2 linked regions of the Cricetulus griseus genome follow. The protein of the gene in region 2 interacts with the protein of the main gene of each other region in a biochemical or structural test. Links are inferred from orthologs where the notes say so. Each region holds a gene or a part of one and is shown on either strand. Other genes may lie near its edges. The genes, in order: ras association domain-containing protein 1 and Daxx.

The links.
Region 1: the proteins of Daxx (region 2) and ras association domain-containing protein 1 form a complex in vitro, tested with the Homo sapiens proteins (4 studies listed by BioGRID and IntAct, with this or other methods). The link is inferred for Cricetulus griseus from reciprocal best matches to the Homo sapiens genes DAXX and RASSF1.

The regions. Positions count from the first base shown.
Region 1 is NC_048597.1:215,732,510-215,736,417, forward strand, and holds the start of ras association domain-containing protein 1, read left to right. Parts: upstream 1-1,551; 5' UTR 1,552-1,587; coding exon 1,588-1,837; intron 1,838-2,982; exon of another isoform or gene 2,983-3,739; coding exon 3,740-3,846; intron 3,847-3,908. Other genes in the region: Zmynd10 (zinc finger MYND domain-containing protein 10), read left to right, coding at 1-35, 269-394, 477-598, 719-844, 936-1,011. UniProt on the Homo sapiens protein: Potential tumor suppressor. Required for death receptor-dependent apoptosis. Mediates activation of STK3/MST2 and STK4/MST1 during Fas-induced apoptosis by preventing their dephosphorylation.
Region 2 is NW_023276806.1:232,095,060-232,098,355, forward strand, and holds the end of Daxx (death domain-associated protein 6), read right to left. Parts: coding exon 3,193-3,296; intron 2,985-3,192; coding exon 2,774-2,984; intron 2,658-2,773; coding exon 2,249-2,657; intron 2,114-2,248; coding exon 1,912-2,113; intron 785-1,911; coding exon 725-784; downstream 1-724. UniProt on the Homo sapiens protein: Transcription corepressor known to repress transcriptional potential of several sumoylated transcription factors. Down-regulates basal and activated transcription.

The sequences.
Region 1 (3,908 bases), on a different chromosome or scaffold from region 2:
GCCTTACAAGCTTTGTTAAGGGACAGCTTCTTAAGGTGAGGAGCTCAATGGCTCTACCCATCCCCCACTGCCACCACCACTACCCTGCCTCACCCCCATTGTATCCCTGCCTGTCCCTGTCCTCTTTCCACAACTTGGACTTCTTGTGACATGGGAACTGGTGAGACATAAACCTTCCAAGTACACCCAACCCAACTTGGGGACTCCCTGTCTCTTGACCCTCTGGCCAGGACTTGTTTCCCAATGGCCTTCCCCGGATGCCTTGCAGCTTCAGGCCTTCCTCACGGATACACTTCTTGACCAGCTGCCCAACCTTGCGGACCTGAAGGGTTTCCTGGCCCACCTGGCCCTGGCTGAAACCCAGCCCCCTAAGAAGGACCTGGTGTTGGAACAGGTAGGCACCTCGAAGGTTAGTTGCTCGGGACCATGATCCGCTTTGCCAGTTCCTTCCTCTCCTCTCTATTACATTCTCTTAGATCCCGGAAATCTGGAATCAGCTAGAGCGAGAGAACAAAGGCAAATGGCAGGCTATTGCCAAGCACCAGCTGCAGCATGTATTCAGCCCCTCAGAGAAGGACCTTCGCCGGCAGGCCCAGAGGTAAGGTGTGCTGCGTGGCTCAAGACGGGTGCATAGGACATAGAAGGCATGGCCATGGCGGGAGGGAGTGCGTCTGTGCCCCTACCTGTCATAGTCAGATCTTCTTGGCCCCTCCCCCAGGTGGGCTGAAACCTACAGGCTGGATGTCCTAGAGGCAATAGCTCCAGAGAGACCCCACTGTGCTTACTGCCAAGCAGAGGCCTCCAAGCGCTGCTCCAGATGCCAGAGTGTGTGGTATTGCTGCAGGTAAGGGACCCCCGAACCTTAATCCCCCTAAGTTCCAACCCTGAGTCCTCCCACAAGCACTGTCATCCTCACGCTGCCCACACCCCTGCAGGGATTGCCAAGTCAAGCACTGGGAGAAGCACGGAAAGACATGTGTTCTAGCAGCCCAAGGTGACAGAGCCAAGTGAAGGCTGCAGCTTCTGACGGCCAGAATGTGACTCTGAGACTCGGTAGTTCTGCCTGGCTCCTGTCAGACCTCAATTTCTCTGGTGGTGAGCACAGCTGAGCCAAGTAGCGCTGCAAACCACCACCACCCGACAAACACACAAGCAAAGGCTCTTCGCTTCCTGCCCCACCCCACGAATATGTAAAGAAGAGAACCAGGCCTCAGCATCAGCAAACTGGCAGACAGGGTTGGGGGACGTACGAAAGGGCCGGATGTGCAGACCCTTTTCCTTTATCACAGTAAAGGGGACACGAAACTCATCAGTGTGGAGCTTTGCAGTCGTCGTTGGGGGCTGGGGAGGGGAGCTGGGGCAAGGACTGAAGGAAAGCCTGGGAAGGGGCTCTTGGAAAGCGCCCGCCCCTGTGCCCCGCCCCGCCCACAAGTGCACACTGTGGCCTCTCCTCGGTTTCCATTGCGTTCTCCTCCTCTCTTTCCCGCCGCCCTGCCTTGATCCTGGGGGCGGTGCCGAAGTGGCGGCCCCGCCCTGCGGCCTCGCCCGCTAGCGCCCAGTCCGCTAGAGTCCCGGCCTGACCGGGCCATGTCGGCAGAGCCAGAGCTCATTGAGCTACGGGAGCTGGCACCGTCTGGGCGCATCGGCCCCGGCCGGACCCGGCTGGAGCGTGCCAACGCTCTGCGCATCGCGCCGTGCACAGCACGCAATCCCTCGCAGCAGCACGTCCCGGGGCGCGGCCACCGCTTCCAGCCTGCGGGTCCCGCCACGCACACGTGGTGCGACCTCTGTGGAGACTTCATCTGGGGCGTCGTGCGCAAGGGCCTACAGTGCGCGCGTGAGTAGCAGCCCCACACAGCCGGCGATCACGGAACGGGAGGTCAAAGGCAGGAGCACCATGGCTGCGGGTCAAGTGGCAGCGGAGGGGGTCAGCAGCGATGATCCTGCAGACCAGGTCCCGTTACCTTGCCCCATCAGGGAGCGTGTTTGAGAAAGTGGTTTATCACGGTGTCACACTTCGTCCGTGCCTGGCGCACAGGTGGGCACAGGCAGATGTCTGTAAATAACAAGGTGCTGGTTCCAAGCTCTTTAAAGCGCCAGAACCCTTGAAAAGTCTTTGTGCCTACTGTGCCCTGTGCCTATATTCCCAGGTCCTCCTCTTCCAAAGGATTGGCACTGTGTTCCCCTCCAGATTCTTGGGTGACTTCACCCACATATGACAGGGGGCCAGAAAAAGTTACCTTGGTTGGGCTCCTTGTAAGTAGGAACCTTGTTGAGTCTTTTAGTCGAGGTTTGAGTCAGTGATCCAGAGGCTAAAACATGAACACAACCACACGCATAGTGGTCCTTCTGACCTGGGGATTAGCCGCAAACGGAAGTTAGACTCACCCGGGATACTTTATACCCTCCCATCGCCTTATGTCTAGACCTCTCAGGCTTCTTGAGTCCATTATTGAAAGTGGACCTTAGGTATCGAGGGCTTTGTTGTCGTTCCCTTTTGTTGTTGTTGTTTTGAGACAGGGTCTCACTATGCAGCCCTGGCTGGCCTGCAACTCTCTATTCAGACCAGGGTGAAACAGAGGTCCACCTGCCTCTGCTTCCCAAATTCCCATGTGTAGATGGAGCTGAGAATCAGCGCTTCGAGCCATATGGGAACTTAAGGGTGGGCTGTAGGCCTGTGCATGCCTAGAGCTCATTCATTCACTACCCGAGTATGTCACAGGTTCAGCTAGTGAAGAACAGTCATTTGTGACAGAATACCACATAGAAGCCTGGGCTGTGATACTGCAACATTTTCAGATAGAAACAAAGTTGCTCTGGAGGTGAGAAACCAGACAGTTTGGATGTCTGACAAGAGGTTGGTAAGGGAATCAAGAATGTGTAGGGTTTTGCTTCAAATAACTAGATGGACAGTGGTAACTTTTGCTGAGATAGGAACCCAGGGGTGAGTGGCAGTGGAAGAAAAGTGAAATTTTGGTGATGTACGTTTGAAATCTTTATTAGGCATTAAAGTGAAGGCACTACATGTAGGATTTGTCCTAAAGAGGCAAATCAGGTCCGCCTTGGATCTGGATCAGGTGAGTGTAGACAGAGCTGGGACAGTATCCAGATGAGGAACCTGGACATCAATTATTAGACCTGGGAGTCGGAACTGATGAAGGGGCTAGCAAGGAGCTACAGAGAAGCGACAAGAAACAGCTAGTGAGTGCTGTCCCTGGGAGTCAAAGGGAGCAAGCAACACAGATTTAGGACGGAACGACCCTGCTAACGTATACAGAGGGCAAAACATTAGATGTGTGCTTTGGGGATTGGCACACATCTGTAATCTTGGCACTTGGAGCAGTTGGAGGCAGGAGGATCTCCCGACTTCAAGGTTACCATTTGAGGTTAACCTGAACTACATGAGACCCTTTCTCAGAAAACAAAATAGGCTTGTGTAAACAAGTGAAGAGGCAGATGACAAATAGAGGAAGTCGTAAATTAAACACTTTTGTTTTCAAGTTAATGGCAAAGTGAAGTAGTAGCTCTGCGGTAGATAGGCAAACACAAGTGTTGAGCAGGGTAACAGCCTGAGGCCTTCCAGGCAGTTTCCAAACGTGCTTCCAGCATCTGTGTAGCAGTGGGCGGCAACCGCGTTTGAGAAAAAGCCAGTGGAGCCCAAATCTGTCGGGCAGAGGCTCCCTCAGTCTGTGGGTCACTTGGCCAAGCTCCTCCGCCTCACCGTCAGCCCTTTCTGCAGACTGCAAGTTCACCTGCCATTACCGTTGTCGTGCGCTCGTCTGCCTGGACTGCTGCGGGCCCCGAGACCTGGGCTGGGATCCCGCACTGGAAAGGGACACGAACGTGGTGAGCTCGGGGTCGGGGTGGGGGGAGTGTGGGCGGGGAGGGGACCTGGGGCTCGTCAGCCC
Region 2 (3,296 bases):
ACTCCCTCCGCCGCCGCCGCCTCCGCTCCGCCTCCCGGACCCGCGGCCTTAAAGGCGCAGGCCGGCACCCCGCCCGTGCCGCCGCGCGGAGTCGACCGACGCACGCGCTTCCCCTTTAAAGGGCCGGCCGCCCCTCCCTCTTAAAGGCGCCGGCCCCCTCCGCCGCCCAGGACGCGGGACTTGATTGGGCCTCGGCCCGCGTCCCCTTTAATCCCGCCCGCTGCCTCTCCGCTGACGGCCGGTACCGGCTTCCGCCGCTCGGGCTCCACCCCCGGCTCGCGGGATCTAACCGCCCTCTCCCCGGCGAATGACAGCACCCCGAGGCCCCGCCTCCCTGGGGATTGGCCGAGCCAGCCGGACGGAGCCGGCCCCCACGGGCCTTTCACTCAACCGCTGCAAGGCTGAGCCAAGCGGCTCCGGGAGGCCCGGGAAGCCCGCTCTCGCCTGGGCCCGGGGGAGGCTCGGGATCGCGGTGAGGACGGCGCCCCCGAGGTGCCCAGGCCAGCCCCGAACCAGGCGGCGGCTGTCACAGCAGAGACACAAGGTAAACACAAGAATACAATAAGAAAAGAAATTCATTGTTTATTAATGTGTTTGCAAAACTTAAAACATCTGGTTGTCAAAAGACACGCCACCAAAAGGGGAGGAGCGCAGTCCATCCTCTGCTCAGTCTTCTGCCCGCGGCCATCCAAAACATTGTGGAGGCAGGGCGAGCAGGAGGCCGCTAATCAGAGTCTGAGAGCACAATGATCTCCTCGGGATCACACTGCGTGGCCACACTCATCTGCAGAGAAGTCACAAGGGGACAGGCAGAGGGGAGGAGTCAGGTCCAGCCGGCGGCGGTGGCGGCGGCGGCAGCAGCACTCAGGAGGCAGAGGCAGGCGGATCTCTGAGTCTGGGGCCAGCCTGGTCTCCACAGAGTGCCAGGACAGCCAGGGCTACATGGAAAGACCCTATCTCAAGAACAAACCAAACTAGGATGGAGGTCTGGAAGAAGAGCCAGCCACTAGGAGCACTGGCTGCTTTGCAGAGGACCTGGGTTCGGTACCCAGACTCACACGGCGCGCAGCTCGCTGGCTGCCTTCTGTAACCCCCGTTCTTGAGGACCAGGCGCCCCTTCTGGACTCCACTGAACACCAGGCACAAATGTGGTACACAGACATGCATAGACGAAACACCTTTTCACATATAAGTAAACCTTTTCTTTTTTTAAGGCAGGGGTCTCACACTATGTAACCTTGGAACTCATTGTGTAGACAAGACAGTTGGCCTTGAACTTATAGAAATCTGCCTGTCTCGGGCTGGAGGGATGGCTCAGAGCTTAAGAGCACTGCCCACTCTCCAGAGGTCCTGAGTTCAATTCCCAGCAACCATATGGTGGCTCACAACCATCCGTTATGAGATCTGGTGCCCTCTTCTGGCCTGCAGGCATATATGCGGGCAGAACACTACATCACAAATAAATCTTTTTTTTTTTAAAAAAAAGGGAGCCATCAAAAAAAAAAAAAAAAAAAAAAAAGAAAAGAAAAAGAAAACTGCCAGTCTCTGCCTCCTGAGTGGTGGACTTAAAGGCATAAACTACTACGTTGTGCAAAATAAACCTAAACACACATACACCACACACACGCACGCACACACAACACAAACCTAGGATGGATAAATAGAGATGTGTGAGGTGCAATACCCCATGGAGAGGGGACAGTAAGAAATGAATTGTTGCCAGGCAGTGGTGGCACATGTCTTTAATCCCAACACTTGGGAGGCAGAGATCTCTGTGAGTTCAAGACTAGCCTGGTCCACAAAGCAAGTTCCAGGACAGCCTCCAAAGCCACCCAAAGCTATACCAAGAAACCCTGTCTCGGAAAAAAATAAAGAAATGAATTGTTAGGGAAACACAGCAGCCCAACTTACCTTATAACTACAAGGCTGGGGAGACTGAGGCTGGGGGGTTGGGGACGTCAGAGATGGAAAAGGGCTGCAGAGGGAGCTGGTCACCAGGCCATGGCTGGGAGAGTCCACCCTTGTGGAGGAATCGGCCACTGGGGAAGATCCAGTAGGCGGGGTCCACACATTCTTCCCATTTCCCTGCTGAGCCTTTTGCTTCTCTACATTGCTAAGGCAAAGAGAACAGATGGACGGGAAGGGGACCCGAAACTGCGGCTGCAGAGTGCCCAGTATCTCCCAGAAGACCCTGACCTCAGGTCTGCTACCCGAAAGCCCCAGCTCCTTGCCATCCGCCTGCTCTTACCTGTTTTCTAATGGTTCAGAATCCAGCAGCTTCTTTTCCTTCCGAGATCTCTTGCATGGGGGACCAGAATCTTGCCAAGTGTGGGAAGAGACACGCCCATTGAAGGATGTAGAGGTGACCACATCTGCCCCGTTTTCCAAGACAGTGGGGAGGGAATCTTCTGACTGTTTCCTAGAAGAGGAAATGTCCTTCTCCTCAAGGCATGGGGTGGTATCCTTGTCTTCAATCTCTAGCTGAAAACTGTGGGACAAAGGACTCTCTTCTTCTAGGAATGGCTCTTCGGGCTGTTCCCCGCTGCTCTCAGCATCTACGCTGTGAGGGTCTGGAGACGCTGCTGTCTCTGACAGTCCTTTGTTTTGCTGCTCCCCTTGTGAGTTGCTTCTACTGGGGCTCTTATCTCCTTCACTGTCTGCAAAAGAGAGAAGGGAGGGTAGCAAAAGCAACGGGAGGAGGGGGCTGTGCAAAGGAGCAGGGGGGGGAGGGAAGGCCAGCAGGGCCGCAGGGGTGCTCTGCTCACACGTGTACCTGCTCCTCCTCCTCCCTCCTCCTCTCCGGCACCCCCCTCATCTTGCTGCAGTCGTTCTAGGTCCTCATCTTCATCTTCAGTGACCTCTTCCTCCTCCTCCTCCTCCTCCTCCTCCTCCTCCTCCTCCTCCTCCTCCTCACTTTCCTCATCGTCGTCAGTGTCAGCCCTGGAGGTAGTAGGGCACTCCTGGGATGCCAGTCCACTAGGACCCTGGGGGACAAAAGCGTCTCTTGTAAGGACTAGGACTCAAACCGGGGACCTCAGGAACACTAGGTGAGAAGACCACAAACGGCCCCACCCCCAAGGACTTGGTGCTTTCACTGTTTCCACACACTGCTCCATTGGTCCCCCTCGAGTCCCTGGGGGCCAGCGCAGGGGGAGGACAAGATCTCTCTGACAGGCGCTGACCCGTCCTTACCTCACCCGAATCCAAGGAGACTTTAGGGGAGCCCGAAGAATGGGAAGTGTTGCCTAGGAGCCTGGCTCGTCTCTTCTGCCTCTCGCCCTCCTCACTCTTGTCTT